Drosophila melanogaster: one gene and its partner. The protein of the gene in region 1 purifies or fractionates together with the protein of each later gene. This does not show direct contact. Each region holds a gene or a part of one and is shown on either strand. Other genes may lie near its edges.

The links.
Region 2: the proteins of Septin2 (region 1) and HIP-R purify together in Drosophila melanogaster (affinity purification with mass spectrometry, with the first as the bait; one large-scale study listed by BioGRID). This does not show direct contact.

Annotation. Positions count from the first base shown.
Region 1 is NT_033777.3:20,582,692-20,590,088, forward strand, and holds Septin2 (septin 2), read right to left. Parts: upstream 5,666-7,397; 5' UTR 5,581-5,665; coding exon 5,433-5,580; exon of another isoform or gene 5,312-5,432; intron 5,305-5,311; exon of another isoform or gene 5,179-5,304; intron 4,767-5,178; coding exon 3,655-4,766; 3' UTR 3,438-3,654; downstream 1-3,437. Other genes in the region: CG16953 (uncharacterized protein), read right to left, coding at 1-49, 107-215, 280-444, 506-625, 689-1,553, 2,446-2,597, 2,712-2,781; Srp72 (signal recognition particle 72), read left to right, coding at 6,134-6,245, 6,307-7,334, 7,397-7,397. UniProt on the Drosophila melanogaster protein: Involved in cytokinesis.
Region 2 is NC_004354.4:3,786,675-3,794,525, forward strand, and holds HIP-R (Hsc/Hsp70-interacting protein related), read left to right. Parts: upstream 1-3,294; 5' UTR 3,295-3,402; exon of another isoform or gene 3,403-3,455; 5' UTR 3,456-3,489; coding exon 3,490-3,662; intron 3,663-3,742; coding exon 3,743-3,864; intron 3,865-4,081; coding exon 4,082-4,728; intron 4,729-4,802; coding exon 4,803-4,994; 3' UTR 4,995-5,803; downstream 5,804-7,851. UniProt on the Drosophila melanogaster protein: One HIP oligomer binds the ATPase domains of at least two Hsc70 molecules dependent on activation of the Hsc70 ATPase by Hsp40. Stabilizes the ADP state of Hsc70 that has a high affinity for substrate protein.

The DNA.
Region 1 (7,397 bases):
CACCGATTGTGTGTCGCCGAAGTTGAAATCGGCCACTTCAACATTGAAGCTGCAAAGCGAAACAATTGGTAGAAAGCGTTTCCATTGGTAATTCGTCAGTGCTTACCGATTTCCCCGTTGAATATAGTAGGCCACGCCGAAAACAACAAGAATCACCGCCACCAAAGTGCAGCTTACGGGCACAACTACAACCGAAAGCTGAGATTGACGCTGAGCTGCATAGAAAAATTAACAATCAATTGTAAGTAGTTAATTTTAAACGAACTTCGATTTACCCACCTTCATACATGTTTATGGTGACCTGATTAAGTGTTTGGGAGACCTCGTTGCGTATGAAGAACAGAATGGTCTTGCTTTCACTGAAGTAACGCATATACTCATACGAGCACGTCTCTATCGGCTCATACTGATCGCAGGTCTCATTGCCCGTGGAGTTGTAAGGAGCTACATGGAAACATGACAGTCATTATAACACGTAGCCTTGAGCTATTGCAATGCCACTCACCAGTGAAGACTCGAGTGCAAAGCTCAAACGGCGGCGATCCTTTGCAGTTGACATTGAGTTTAAGCACCTCCCAGTGTTGCAACCAATTCTTGCCCGTGGTGCCGAAACCGGTTATAGGATCTAAAGGGTTTTCAGTTTTAAATATGAGGAGAATCGCTCATAAAAATCATTAAATAATCGTACCCTTGGATACAACGCGATGCTGGTAGTAGCCGTATATCTGCTTGGGGTCCTGGGCGACGAACTTTTTGCTCACGCAATCGAAAGGCGGCTGCAGACCGGGCACCAGTGTGAGCTTGGACACCCTTCGCACTCCCAGCGGATTGACCAAAGCCACGGACACATTCCCAGCGGATGACTTTTGCTGGTTTAGCGCACTGGTTAAGTTCAAGCCTAGAAGAGCAGCGTTGGCATGCATGGCCTGGATTAAGTCACGTTTGGATCGTGCCGGCGGCTTTGGAGTCGTTGTGGTCGTTGTACTTGTGGATGATGTTGTGGTTTTTGGAGTGGTCGTTGTGGCAGGTGTTGTTGAAGTGGTTGTTGTTGCTGGAGTTGTAGTGGTGGTGGTAGTGGTAGTTGTGGTTGTTGTGGTGGTGGTCGTCGTAGTTGAGGGCGTCGGCTCCGGCGGAAGTTCCAGTGAAGCCACCACTAACGCCTCCATGTCATAATATTGCTCAGCTTTCGGATATGTGGCCACATAGTCCAACGCACTGGACATGCCGAGATATGTGCAGTTCTGAAACCAATACGTCAGAATGCGATAACCCTTCGACTGCAGAAAAAGTAGGTCCGCATCGGAAAGTGATACGCTGTGATTCACCGCCTCCTGGGTGGACACAAACTCATGGGGTCGCATCACATTGTTCTGAATCAGCTCCAGGCTGCCGCCGAGCAAGCTGTCCAGCTTGATTCCCCTCGAGGCCTTAGCCTCCGTCACCCAAAAAAATGTGACGAACTTCTCCACTTCCACCTTGATGACATGCGTCGCCGGTTGTTCTTGCGTGAAGACCACAGACCAATTGCTGCTAACGCTGTTCGTTTCAATCACCTGTGGGCACAAAGAGAAGTGTTTAGTGTTATTTGGTATCACTTTTAAGCCACTCTGCATGCAAATTCGTTCACAATAGCAGCCACCGTTTGGCACTGATATGGCCACGTACCAGGCACAATCGGAAAAGCTGTCGCTTAATAGTAATTGTGCAAAATTACCATTCAAATGACGCCATTTCAATTGATGGCACAGGGCTGAGATTAGAACTGGTATTCGCATCTGTTTGTATATGTAAGCTCTAGCTTAGGGTGTTTAAAATGTGTTTTTAGTCATCGTAAATAATAAAATATTTATGACTTCTATGGAATAAGAATCATTAACATTGATAATTTCATTTGATAATATTTAAAGAAACAGATACGGATCAGTATAATTATGTTCAATATTACATATGCTCATGTTAGTTAGTTAATAAGCTTATATATAAAAATCTTAAGTTTGAATTTGAAATAAGGTTTCTAAAGATTTTTTCTTGAAAATGCATTTTGAATAAAAACAGTTACGTCTTTTGATCTAAAGAGTAATTCTTGTTTAGCAATTACGAGTTGTGATATCGATTTAGAACAAACTTTTGTAATGGTCTATTAGCAGGAGCTTAAAACTTTAAATTTAACCGAAATCGAGAACTTTCAAAATATTTTGTAATCAGAGATATTTGCATTAATGAAATACTGTTCTGCTGCGTTGATGGCAGGCAAACCACCTAGTACTAGTTCTCCTGACCATTTTAATGAGCCAGTTTGATGGGCGTAGATGCGAACCCTAGGCTGGTGGATTTGCTTGCACTATTGGCGTTTGCATTCGCAGGCAATTAGTCGTGTCACCGTTTTCTTTGTTTGAACACGTTCTGCAGGGGGAGCAGTTGGGGAAATGGAGGTGGAATCGTTACCTTTCGATGGCCAGCACTGTCGGACCATGTGAACCTGTAGGGCCTGCCTCCGTCAGCCGGTTTGTCGCCATCGAAGAGCTGGGCGGACACATTGATGGTGGATCCGATGAGGGCCTGTTCGGGAGCAGTGATGATGACGGTGTAGCAGGTAACTGCAATGTCGGAGGGAAATCATTAATGACCCCGTTTCTGGACTACCATATCCACACTGCACCAGCCATTAACCATTAACCACTACCCACTGCCACCATTAGCATTATCCATACCTGTCTGCAGAAGAGCGAGGAAAACCAGTGATGACGCTGCTGGCGACATGTTCGTCATGCCGATTGGCATTTCCCGTCCACTCGGCGGCGCTGGCTATGGAAAATCACTTGGGAGCACCCCTGCGGCGAGTCCCCTCCCTTACCATTAAATCGCAATCCAAACCGAGCGACAAACAAAATTATAACGAACAAAAAACAAACACAAAGGGGTATCTTGCTTTTTGCCAACGGATACACCCACTTTCATGGACTATTCTCTACGTTGAACACGGTTAATTGCTTTCGTTTGGGTTACGGAGCACTGGACTCCGTGATTGCGTCGAATTCGCTGCGGTGATTCTATTATTGCGTTTTTAATTTGTTCTATAATTTTTGCAGCCTGCAGTGAATGAGTGGGTAACAGTGTGACCAGGTGGCAAGCACAAGACAAGTAAAATAAGGCCGTACTACACTTACGTCCTACGAAAAGCCCGCCAATCTTGAAATTCAAATTACCATGTTTTTGTATTTAAAAAGCGGAGCTTAAAAGAAATTCAAGGAAAATATAAACTTAATATGTATTGATACATATCAATCAGTGACTTCTAAGGAAACCAGGATAATCTTAGATAAAATGTTATTTTGTTGTCTTTATCCAGCGGTGCCTTCAATACACACTTAAAAACACATTATATCGACAAAAGTTTACAATTTTTTGAATACAAGTTTCCGGCAAACAGCTCTTTTCTACTTTGTTAAAATACTAAGTTCGATTTATTCGTTAGTTGTAAATACATAATCATTATATGCCTGCGTACATATGCGTGTAGTTGTGTATATGTTAATATTTGAAGTAAACTTAATAGTACAAATGAAAGACAACGAGATGAGAAAGCAATAATTACTTTGGGATAAGCGAACCGCACAGAATTCTCAATACATTGTGAGGCGGCGGCGCCGGATTCTACTTCTTCTTGCTCTTGCCGAGGGTGAGCGTGTGGTGGGCGGTGGCCAACTGCTGCTTGCGCCGCTGGAAGTCAAGGTAGTCCTCCTCGAGCGCCTTGCGCGACTCTTCCAGCTTGCGCTTCTCCTCGGCGTGATCCCGCTTTAGCTTCTCGAACTTGGCGTGCAGGTCCTTCTCGCTCTCCTTCAGCTCGGCCTCCTTCTCCTTAACGCGCTGCACGAACATCTGACGAACCTCCTCCTCCTTGGACTGCAGCTCGGCCAAATGGTTGGAGCGCTTTGCCTCGAACGTCTGCTGGAACGAGATGGGCTTGTTGTCGCTGTCCACATCGCTGAAGCCCATTTGCTCCAGCCTCTTCTGGCGATACAGCTCGTAGTGGCGCGTGTGTGTCTTTTCGCGCATATCCTCCATGTTGGTGCGAATGAGCATCTCGCGCAGCTTCACAAAGTCGCAGTGCGTCTCGTTCTCCACCTGCACCGTGCCCCAGGGGTACTGGCGAGCGCGGATGAGCTTGTTGCCCACCTTAATAAACTCCGTGCTGCCCACCACGGCGAAGGGAATGTGCGAGTTCATGCTGGTGTTGGTCTCGGCCACCGTCTCATCGTCGGTGGGGAACTGGTAGATGTGCACTCCATTGGCGTTTAGCTCCTGAATGATCTTCGCCTTGAAGCGCTGTAGCTCAACCTTGGAAATGGTATCCGCCTTGGCAATCACCGGAATTATGTTCACCTTGCTGTCCAGCTTCTTCATGCACACCAGGTCCAGCGATTTGAGGCCGTGCCCAGTGGGGCAAATAAAGTAGAGGCAGATGTGGATGCGGCTGTCGTGGCATGTCACCAGCGATCGCTTGATCTTCAGCTCCTCCTGCAGATAGTTCTCGAACTGTGCGTCGATGTAGTCCACCACCGCCTTGAACGAGTCGTCCTTGTTGATCTGATCGCCGTAGCCAACCGTGTCGCAGATGGTGAGCTTGAGTCGCACATTGCTCTCCTGCAGCTCGTAGGTGTGTGCCTTCAACTTGACGCTCGGCAAAGTGTGGGGACTCGGCGTGGACTCGAAGCTGGTGTTGAACAGCGTGTCCATCAGCGTCGACTTGCCCAGTCCGGTTTCGCCTGCGGAGCGTAAAGATTTCGAAATGCGGGTCAGATTTGTGCCAGATTTGGGGAACCTTAGCCTAAGTGAGCTCAATTGGCCATAGAAGCACTGCGGCATTGGTGTCAGGGTGAAATTGTAGAAAGTGGCGGAGGCAATCGATTGCCGGCCACTTTGCATACTAATCGTATCTGGGCGTCTGGTTATTTCAATTGTTTACCCGCTTTTATGTACCTAAGTGATTCACTTTATCTGAGCAATGCACTCCAACATGAGACACTTGAGTACATAGCACAGCGGTGTTCAAAACAATAGCATCTTTATTTCAAGATGTGCTGTGCAATAGTCTTTGCTTTCAATAAATAATTGTATTTCTAATATGATTTTACTGATTTTACTCGTATTAAAGTTTAACAAATAAAAAGCACACACCTCGGTTTTTATTTCATTCTCTCTGCATCGAGCTACCACTGTATGTCCAATTTCTAATTGGTGTGCAAACAAAGCCATCTTTGAGTTAAGAAGCAACAAAAGTTTGAAACCTTCTCCAAGTGACTCCTTTATGGAATATAAAAAATCAGTGCTATTGCTTTGGTCACCACTGTTTTGTATGCAAGCAAAACTTCGGTTGATTCACTGTGCCGCATACACACGCACACACGCAAAGTTCACCCGCATATACACACCTATACACATGACGTTGAAGACGAATCCATTCTGGACACTCTTGTTGACCAGTTGGTCAGGCAAGCTGTCGAATCCCACGTGACCGGACTGCTTCAGGGTGCGGAGGTGCACCTCCTTCTTGTCGACGAAATCCACCTCAACGGACATTTTCCAATAGTCAAGTCAAATAATCCAATAATCCGGGCGCAGAGTTTGGATCAAAGGCGTCGCCAGCGAATATGCAAGTGTGGCCAGATACGCGGAGCCCAAAATACCAGCGGCTCAAAGAAGTGTGTGGATATAGATGAACAAGAAAATTATAACTTAACAAAGAATTAAAAAACAATTATTTAATGAATTACATGTGCCATAATGGCAAATAGTGAAACGAAATTGATAATCAAACAGTGAAATGCACTTCATGGATTAAGATTTTAGTACACATCATTTAGCGTTTCAGTTTTTAATAACTAATAATAAAATGTCCCATTCATAGATATTTATGCATAAGTTATTAATTAAATGTAAATAGTTTAAAAAATTAAATGTCTTAACTGTTTCCGCCATCTGGCATCTCTGGTTGCACACAGAAGCGATCTGGCAGGTCCGCATTGCTGATGTGTCTACAGCTGTAAAAACTTGCATGTTAAACGGAAAGTCGAAAGTTTAAGTCAGTGAATAAAATATATATTACCACCCACTAACGTGCTGAGCAAACAGGATGTCAAAGGACGCTAATCCCAAGGAGGCGCTCATAAAGGCGGCTTACGCTGATGTGAATAAGTTCGGCAATAACCAGGAGTTTGACAAGGCTGTCAAGGCAGTGAATCGCAGTAAGTTTTTCAGATTACCGAGGTTATAATCCAGAAGATGACTCCCTATGATCTCTCATAGTCCTAGGCGTAGCGCCCGACGATCCCACCGCCCTGCACTGCAAGGTAGTCTGCCTGGTGCAGCTTTCCAAGTTCGAGGAGGCCTACAAGTTTATTGAGAAAAATCGACTGTCCTCGCTTTTCTTTGAGAAGGCCTACTGCGAGTACCAACTTAACAAGCAGCAGCAAGCGCTTAAGACCATAGACGATGCGGGTCTGCAGCCCCTGCCTCCGAACCTTAAGGAGCTCCGAACCCAGGTCCTGTACCGCTTGGAGCGCTACGATGAGTGCCTAGACTCCTATCGCGACATCATTAAGAACACCAGTGACGAGTACGAGGAAGAGCGTCGGACCAATCTCAGCGCCGTGGCCGCCAACTTGGCTGTGGATCAGACCAAGGAGGTGCCCGAGGTGCCGGAAGACACCTACGAGCAGTACTTCAACAGCGCGTGCATCCAGGCTAATCGGCAGAAGTATGCTGAAGCCGAGCGCAAGTTGCGCACCAGCGAGAAGCTCTGTCTTGAGGATGAGTGTGCCTCCGAGGAGGAGATCATTGAAGAGGTAGACGTCATTCGCGTCCAACTGGCCTATGTCCTCCAACTGCAGGGCAAGACCAAGGAGGCGTCCAGCATCTACGCGGACTGCCTGCGTCATAAGCCAAAGGACGCAGCCCTGGTGGCCGTGGCAAGCAACAACTTGGTGGTGGTCAATAAGGACCAGAACGTCTTCGATTCCAAGAAGAAGATACGCGCTGCCCTAGCCGACGCCTGTGAGTCTAGGCTCACCTCGCGCCAGAAGCAGGTCATAGCCCTCAACAACTGTCTGCTAGCACTTTACACTAATGCCGGCGACCAAGTGCAACAGCTTAGCCAAAAGCTAGCTCAGACCTACCCGCAGGTGGAATTCGAGGCGCTGCTCATTCGCTGCACCCAGCTGGCCAAAGATCGCAAGCACAAGGAGGCCATCGAGCAGCTACAAAAGTTCGCTGCAGCCCACAAGTCGCACGAATTCGTCAGCAAATTTGCCATCATACAACTTCAGCTGCTTCAGGTAAGTTGCCATAAGTCGTAAGTCGAAAATGGAATCTTATTTTTTGTATTTCGTTGCTTTAGG
Region 2 (7,851 bases), on another chromosome or scaffold:
ATGCAGACAATGCCGGCAAACGCTGCCAATGCTGCTGCAGCTGCAGGGGGAGGGGGAACACCGACCTATCAGGGGAAATACAAGCGCTGGCAGCAGCAACAGTTACAACAGCAGGCGCAACTCCAACAGCAGCAGCACAAGCTGCTGTTGCAGCAAGAGCTGCTCTAAAATATGAAGGGAATGATGACAAGCGAGTTTAAGAGAACGAGGAGCTGCCTGCCACACTGCCGCCGTCAGCAATAACAACATCCCAAGAAAATTCACAGCGAGTCGCAAAAGCATCAACAAACAAAGCAAAAAACGCAAAAAAGGATTACAAAGACGCAGAGAATAGGGGACATTTGCAATGGGAAATAACAAATTATTGCATTATCTGCTGGATTGTGATTGTGGTTCAAACATTAAAAATACACTTACTCATACACACAAGGTAGACACTGCAGACTAATTTTGCCTTAAAAGAAACAAAACGAATAATGTTAACTGTAAATTTTCACTTTGTGTCCATGCATAGTTACTAGTAATGATGATATAAATATATAAATATATATAAAATATAAAAATTATATAAATGTATAAATTTATATTTATATATATATATATATATATATATATATATCTGCATAAACATTGAAGCATACTAGTAAATCTTTATAAATATATTTATATATATATTTATCTCTTCCTTTTAACGCTTTTAATCGGAAAAAACATCCCAATTATATTTTAATTCAATTTGAAATATAAAAGTCATTTTTGTTTGTTTTGTATCAAAATCCAAAAAAAATTGATTTAAATATAAAAATACCATAAACATTAACACCACACACACACACACACACACATATATATATATATATATATATATATATATATATACATATATATATACATTTGTATATAGTCGTATCTGAACCACAAACAAATCCACAGATAAAAAAAACTGAAAAATTCATAGAATCAAACCATTTTTTTATATGCCACAAAGAAAAGAAAATAAGTAGAAATGCAAGAAAAATCGAGAAAAAGCGTAATTCATGAGATCAGATCGGATCAGAAAAATCAACAGAAAATAAACCTATTTGAAGTAAAATACTTCTAAATACATAGTAAACTAATGTAATAGTTTTTATTAAAATTACACATATATGTATCGATATATATACATGTTTTTTTTTTTTTAATTTTAAAATTATAATTGTAATGCACTATGCGTAAATTGTATTAAATATTAATATCCAAGGCATATTAATAGAAATATATATACATATATAAAACCTGCAAAAAAAAAACATGAACTACCAAGCTAAATGTTTCAATAATATATAGATCTATATGTATGTAAAACCGATATGAAATCTGCCTACAGCCAGACAAAAAAAACCTTAAAGAGAAAGATCAGAAGAGGAACAGAAGAGTATGAGCGGGGAGTGAAAGATGCAAGATTCATCCAAAAGCGAAAAACATTTTTTTCTTAAGTCTACGCAAAACAAAATGAATGAAAAGTAACCCGAAATTAGTTTTTAGAGTATAAGTATAAAAAATGGAAAATATCGCGATAGAAAGAAACAAAAATGGACGCAGATAAGGACGGCAAGCAGAACAAGAGTAATAAAGCAGCGGCAAGAACTCCCTAAAAATAGCAAAGAGCATTGTAAATATTTATATAAATAATTTATGCCTAATTAAAGTTTAAATTAATGAAGAAAACCAGCAAAAAAACATAAAAAACCAGAAGAACCATTTCAGATTTGTATGCAAATTTGTATATGTACGTACTTTCCTTTAATTTTAGCCAATCAGTTTGTAAGATTAAATTTTTTTTTTGCATCTCTATAAAGAATAATGATATGAGGATAATGATTCCGATTTTTTTTTCCGTTTAATGTAACCGTTAGAATTAGCCCATAATGGTCGATATCTAAATGTGTGTGTATATCGATGTGATGTCATCGATTGTCGATAACGATTGGATGCGAGTGTGTGTTAATTTAATTTGATAAAAGATAAAGGAAAGCAAGGAATGTGAAGATAATGAAAGGAGATGCATAGAGAATGAGAGCGAATCTATCTATTATATAATTATGTAAAATGCACATCTTTAAATTATAAATTATACATATTTAAAAGGAAACTATTATTATTATTTTGATTACCATTATCATTATTTTTTATTATCACTTAACGGTTTCGGTTTGATCCACAGCGAAACCAACAACAACCAAGAAACAGAAACAACAAAAAGAGAAACAAAATAAACAAGCGAAATGTTTGATAAAAAAAACCACGAGATGTTTTAATTTATTTGTCTTTAATTCTTCGATTTTATTGAGTTTTTCATAGAGAAAGTTGTCACACTCAAGAACACACACGCAAGCGTATAAAGCTAAACAAATTAATACCTACTAAGTGTTTAAATAGTACTAAACGAATCAAAATATAAATACTTAAAAAGAAAAAAAAACGAAAATAAAAATAAAAACAGCAGCAGAAAAAAACGATGAGACAGTTGAGCAGACGAGAAAAACAAAGCCCATTAAATTATTTGTTGAGTATTTTATTAAAAAATAATTACGATAATAATTAAAAAGTTTAAATTGAACGAATTACGAAAAACAAACTGAATATACATATATGTGTGCATATATACATATATGTATGTATTATATATAAACAAATTATTTAATAGTTATGCTAAAAAATTATTTAAAGTGAACGGATATGAAAAATATTTGTATGCGTGCGAGCACGGAGAGAAGGGCACTCAGAATAGGCCATCGACACCACCCACTCCCTTCCGATACCCGAACATCACCACCAGTTTTCACCATTTTCTGACCCTTAACCCCTTCAACCAGACACACACCAAACACAAGAAAAGGCGAAGAAAGCCGAAAAAAAAACAATGCAAACACGAAATAGGCGGCGACGACAGAGATAAGCGCGAAGAAGATACTAAATCAATAAGTAAACATAAAAATTAATTAATAAATTAATTCCAAAACAAAATGAAAAAAGCTAAAAAAAAAACATCAAGAAAACAAAAGACAAAAGCAAACAAAAAACATGACGAAACATTGAAAATAAAAAAATACTAAAATGATTAACAGAAAACTGTTTTAATGTCAATGGGGGCAGACATAAACTTCTTCAGCAATAGTTATGGACTTAATTGTGGCTCATTACATTCTCGATCCTATGTGAATATATATGTATTTAGTTTTGGGGTATGTGGCGGAAAATGGCTGTTATCTTTTTAAAAGTTGTCACATTTTCCAGCACTATCGTACGCACAAAATACTGAAAAATACAAGAGCGAAGCGATAAATACCGTCGATTAATTCTCAGTACTTTTTCATGGTATTTATGCATACCAATCGATAGGGCAGAGCAAAAGTGGACGTAAAGCTAAGCAAATATTGCTTATTAATAATATTAATATATTAATATATCAGATCTGAAAACATCGAGACAAAACGGAATTCAGAAATGGCTTTCACAATGCAAACCGGGGATCTGAAGAAGCTGAAGTACTTCATCGACTTTGCGCTTGAGAATCCCACCTTCTTGAACATGCCGCAGCTGCAGTTCGTCAAAGATTTCGTGGAGAAGTTTGGTGGCACGGTGCCGCCTGGCCAATTCAACGGTGGCAGCGCCGGAGGGTAAGTTAACCGAACTATTTGACCAATTTTCAAAACAACACGATTGTATGATTTGCTCATCCCGCGGCTTGTTCTTCCAGCAAGTGCCCATTCGGCGGTGTTGCTGGTGCCAAGGCCAACGAGCCGGCCAATGCCCCCGAGGATAGCGAGGACGAAAAGTCCCTCTCCGATCCTGAGTCGGACGTGGAGCTGGACATGGAGGGTGAGTGTGCAAATTTTGCCGAGTCACGTGGTCATTGGGGGTCACAACCCTGGACTTTGATGCGTTGCTGTCGCAGTGCTGGCAGTTGCTTTATCTTATATCCTTTCGACACTGCAAACTTAGCGTTTACCCAAATTCGAATCCTGCAGTATTAATATATGTAATACGCCAATTAAAACTATGTATCTTCTATCCGTATTACTTCCGACGCCTTCAGGTGTGATCGAGGCGGACAGCGACCCCGCCCAACCCATGGGCAACTACAGCAAGAAGGCCACCGAAGAGGAGGTGGAGCAGGCGAGCGAGCTGCGCGCCCAGGCGGCCTCCGCTTACGGCCAGCAGAAGTTCGACGAGGCCATCGCCTTGTACACCAAGGCCATTGAACTGAGCCCGGGTAATGCCCTTTTCCACGCTAAGCGTGGTCAGGCCTTCCTCAAGCTGAAGAAGCCGAATGCCTGCATTCGGGACTGCGACGTGGCGCTGGAACTCAACTCGGATTTGGCGGCTGGCTACAAGTTCAGGGGACGCGCCCGTCGCCTCCTCGGAGATTTTGAGCTGGCTGCCCATGATTTGCGCCAAGCATGCAAGCTGGACTTTGACGAGGAGACAGACGAGTGGCTAAAGGAGGTCACTCCGAATGCCAAGAAAATCGAGCAGCATCGCTTGAAGCAGGAGCGTCGCCAGGCAGAGCGTAAGATCAAGGAACGCCAGCGGGATCAGAGGCGCGCACGTAAGGAGCAGGAAAAGCACAATGCCAGCTCTGGTGGATCATCTGGAGAATTTTCCGGTGGGAATCCTGGTAACGGAAATATGTCTGATATACTGGGCGCCATGTCAGATCCCGAGGTGTCAGCCGCCATTCAGGTTCGTGAATACTACTTTTCTATTTCTAATACAAATGCAGTAATCATATCGTTGTTATTTATTAACTTTCGTAGGACATTTTGTCAAATCCGGGTAACATCACAAAGTACGCGTCGAACCCGAAGATATACAACCTTATCAAGAAGATTGTGCCCGGTGGAGATGTGGGTGCTGCCTTTGGCCAAGCGGGTGAAAAGGCTGGAAAGCCGAGCGAGCCTAAGCCTAAAAAGGACTCCGCCGACTTCGTCGATGACGGTTTGGACTAAGGTTTAGAAATGGGGCAGTAGTAAGACTGAAACATGCGTCGATAAAAAGAAGTTAACAACCAATTACACGAAATCGAGCGAGATTACAAAACAACAAAGAAAGAGAAAGCAACAGAGTGCGGTGAAGAAGATGGACTACACGAAAAACAAAAGGGAAAGCGGCTGCCTTACACATTTTTGCAGCTGAGAAAAAACAAACATTTCCTAAGCTTTAACTTAACCAACACGTAAAAGAACGGGCGACAATGGAGAAAATTCAAATATTCAAAATACTACAAGCAGTCAGAAGAATAAGCAACATTTATTTAAATCGAGAAGAAAGAGATGTTGGAGATGCTGGAGACGCTTCTTCACATATTATTGAAAAGCATACTTGCGGCCATTAAAGTGGCAAATGAAACTATACAAAGGAGCTAGAATATGCTTAAAAACTTATCACATTTGCAGTTCACAGGTAAATCAAAAGATTGTCCTGTGACGAACAAAACATAAATGTTTAGACGTCAAGTCAGATTCAAGGGTGCCGATCGATCTAGTTGAACTAAAGCTCGAGAAACAACCAAAAGAAAATAAAAAATATATATATGTTCAATAATATTAGCCTAAATTACCGAGAACGAAGAAACGGATAAAACTAATCGCATCATTTGGTCAAACAAAATTGTACTGAGTAGGATTTAAATCATATTGTAAGCAAATGCATTTAGCCCCCCAACATGAAAGCAATCGCCCATTCATTCACACACTCATTCACACACTCATTCAACCAGTGATCAATGGAAATAAATAAACGAATCAACAAGAACCCGAATTGCTAATGTCCATATTTTTTGGTAAACGGGTAAAAGGGGAGATACTTTTGCTTTTTTTTCGAGCGGGTTGGACAGATGGAGCCGTAGTCCCTTAAACTATCCGGCGCATCACCTGTGTGGGTTGCTCACTTTGTATGAAGGACATTGGGTACGCATGGTGTATGAAAGCGTCGATTAGACGCTTCAATGGCTGCACCCTGCACCCTGGATCCAGAACCTATCTACCGCACCCCGCCCCATGTCAGCGCGAAATTGGCTAACGGACAGCTTGGCGCACATGTTCGATTATGGCCAAATCGAGCGACCAAGCAGAACCAGCGGCACATGACCTGGGCTCAGCGATGCCAAGACCTGGGTGGTTGTACCTAGAGGTACTTGATTGCTTTTTAAACTCAGCTTGGTACAGCGTACACGACTGATTATTTAGAAGCTATGACAGCTTTCTTTGCTTTGATATTTTTCATATTTATATATAAATTATAAATATATATTTATAAGCAGGTGATATGGTTGAAACATATATCAACGAATATGTCAAATATAATACAGTGAAGTGTCTGCATTATTTTATTGTACCTGCGCCATCACAGGTACGGCTCCTCTTTCCATCGACTGCAGACGTACCGCTTATGTGCATGACTGGGTGTCCGGGGTGGTGGATGTGAATGTGGATGAGTGGCAGGAGGGCGCAGGCGCAGCTCAGCCCAACAGCCAAGTTGGTCTGGACTCCTGGCGGCCCATCGCATTCCGTGGCCAGTCGCAGCGCGAGACGGTTAGCCAGTTAGCCAGTGCGGACCGACTAATTCCCAATTTCCGCTCTTGACTAAACTAAAGATTGAGAAATAAAGAAAGAAATATCCTTCGTCCGTCCCCCAGACGAAGCAGGTCAATTTTTTTTTCGTGTTACTTGCTCTTTTTCGCCAAGTGTGAGTTGTGTGTTTTGGCTTGGCTAACGTGATTGAAATCGAGACAGCCGGGACATCATGATTGTCAACATGCCCGTCAATGGAACGGGCAGTGCATCCAGCCCAACATCGAATCCCAGCAGCAACAACAACAACAATAGCAGTACCACCAATCAAAATGATACGAACACTAATCTTCCCGGTGATTACAACTTTCTTAAGCGCAAGTTCGACGATCAGGAGGATTTGGCTTTGGGCCACGACTACGAGCCCATCGGGGCAAATCCCTGGAAGAAGCGACACTTGGACTACGATGCCGGGGACCTGCACTTCCACCTGCAGCTGGAACAGCCACCTAGTAATCCGCCAACCAACGCTGCACCCGCCCAATCCTCGACGTCCTTCATCAACGATCTCTTTTCCTATGAGAGCAGTCTTCTGGTGCCCGCCGTCGCCTATTCGCACTGTCCACCATCGAGTGCTCCATTGGATGACAATGGTGGTTGGACCGGTGGCGAGCTGCTGGAGCTGGATCATCGTTATAACTCCGGCCTGCAGGCGGAACTGGGGCAATTGAATGCCACTTTGCCGCCGCCACCACCAACATCATCATCAGCTCAAAATGCATCCAATCATACGCAGCAGTCAACACAACAGAATGTCATTCCTGGTCAGAACCCACATCAGAATCAACATTTTCTGGTGCCGCAGAAGCAGCGGATACAGTCGGCGGGCCGACGCACCTCATCCGGTTCGGTTAGTGGGGCCAATGAAGCCACCGAGGCGGACTTCGAGGATAAGAACCTCTCGTGGCTGCTCAACTTTAAGTTCGACGAGTTCCCGCACCTATCGCCGCACAATCAGATTCACGGACAGGCGGTCAATCTGCCGGAGGGCAGTGCTCCACCTCATCCACCATCGACGGCAGTGCCGATCGCCACGTCGCCCTGCAGTTCCTCCTCGCCATCATCCGCCTCCGCCGCATCGGCATCCGCATCCGCCATAAGCACAAATCAATCTCTCGGATCGGGTTTGGTGGATCAACGGGCCAGATCGCCCAAGAGTTGCTCCAGTGCAGCGATGCCAGCGGCATTAGGAGGAGGAGGCAACGGCTCCGCTGGCGCTTCAGCAGCGGGGGGC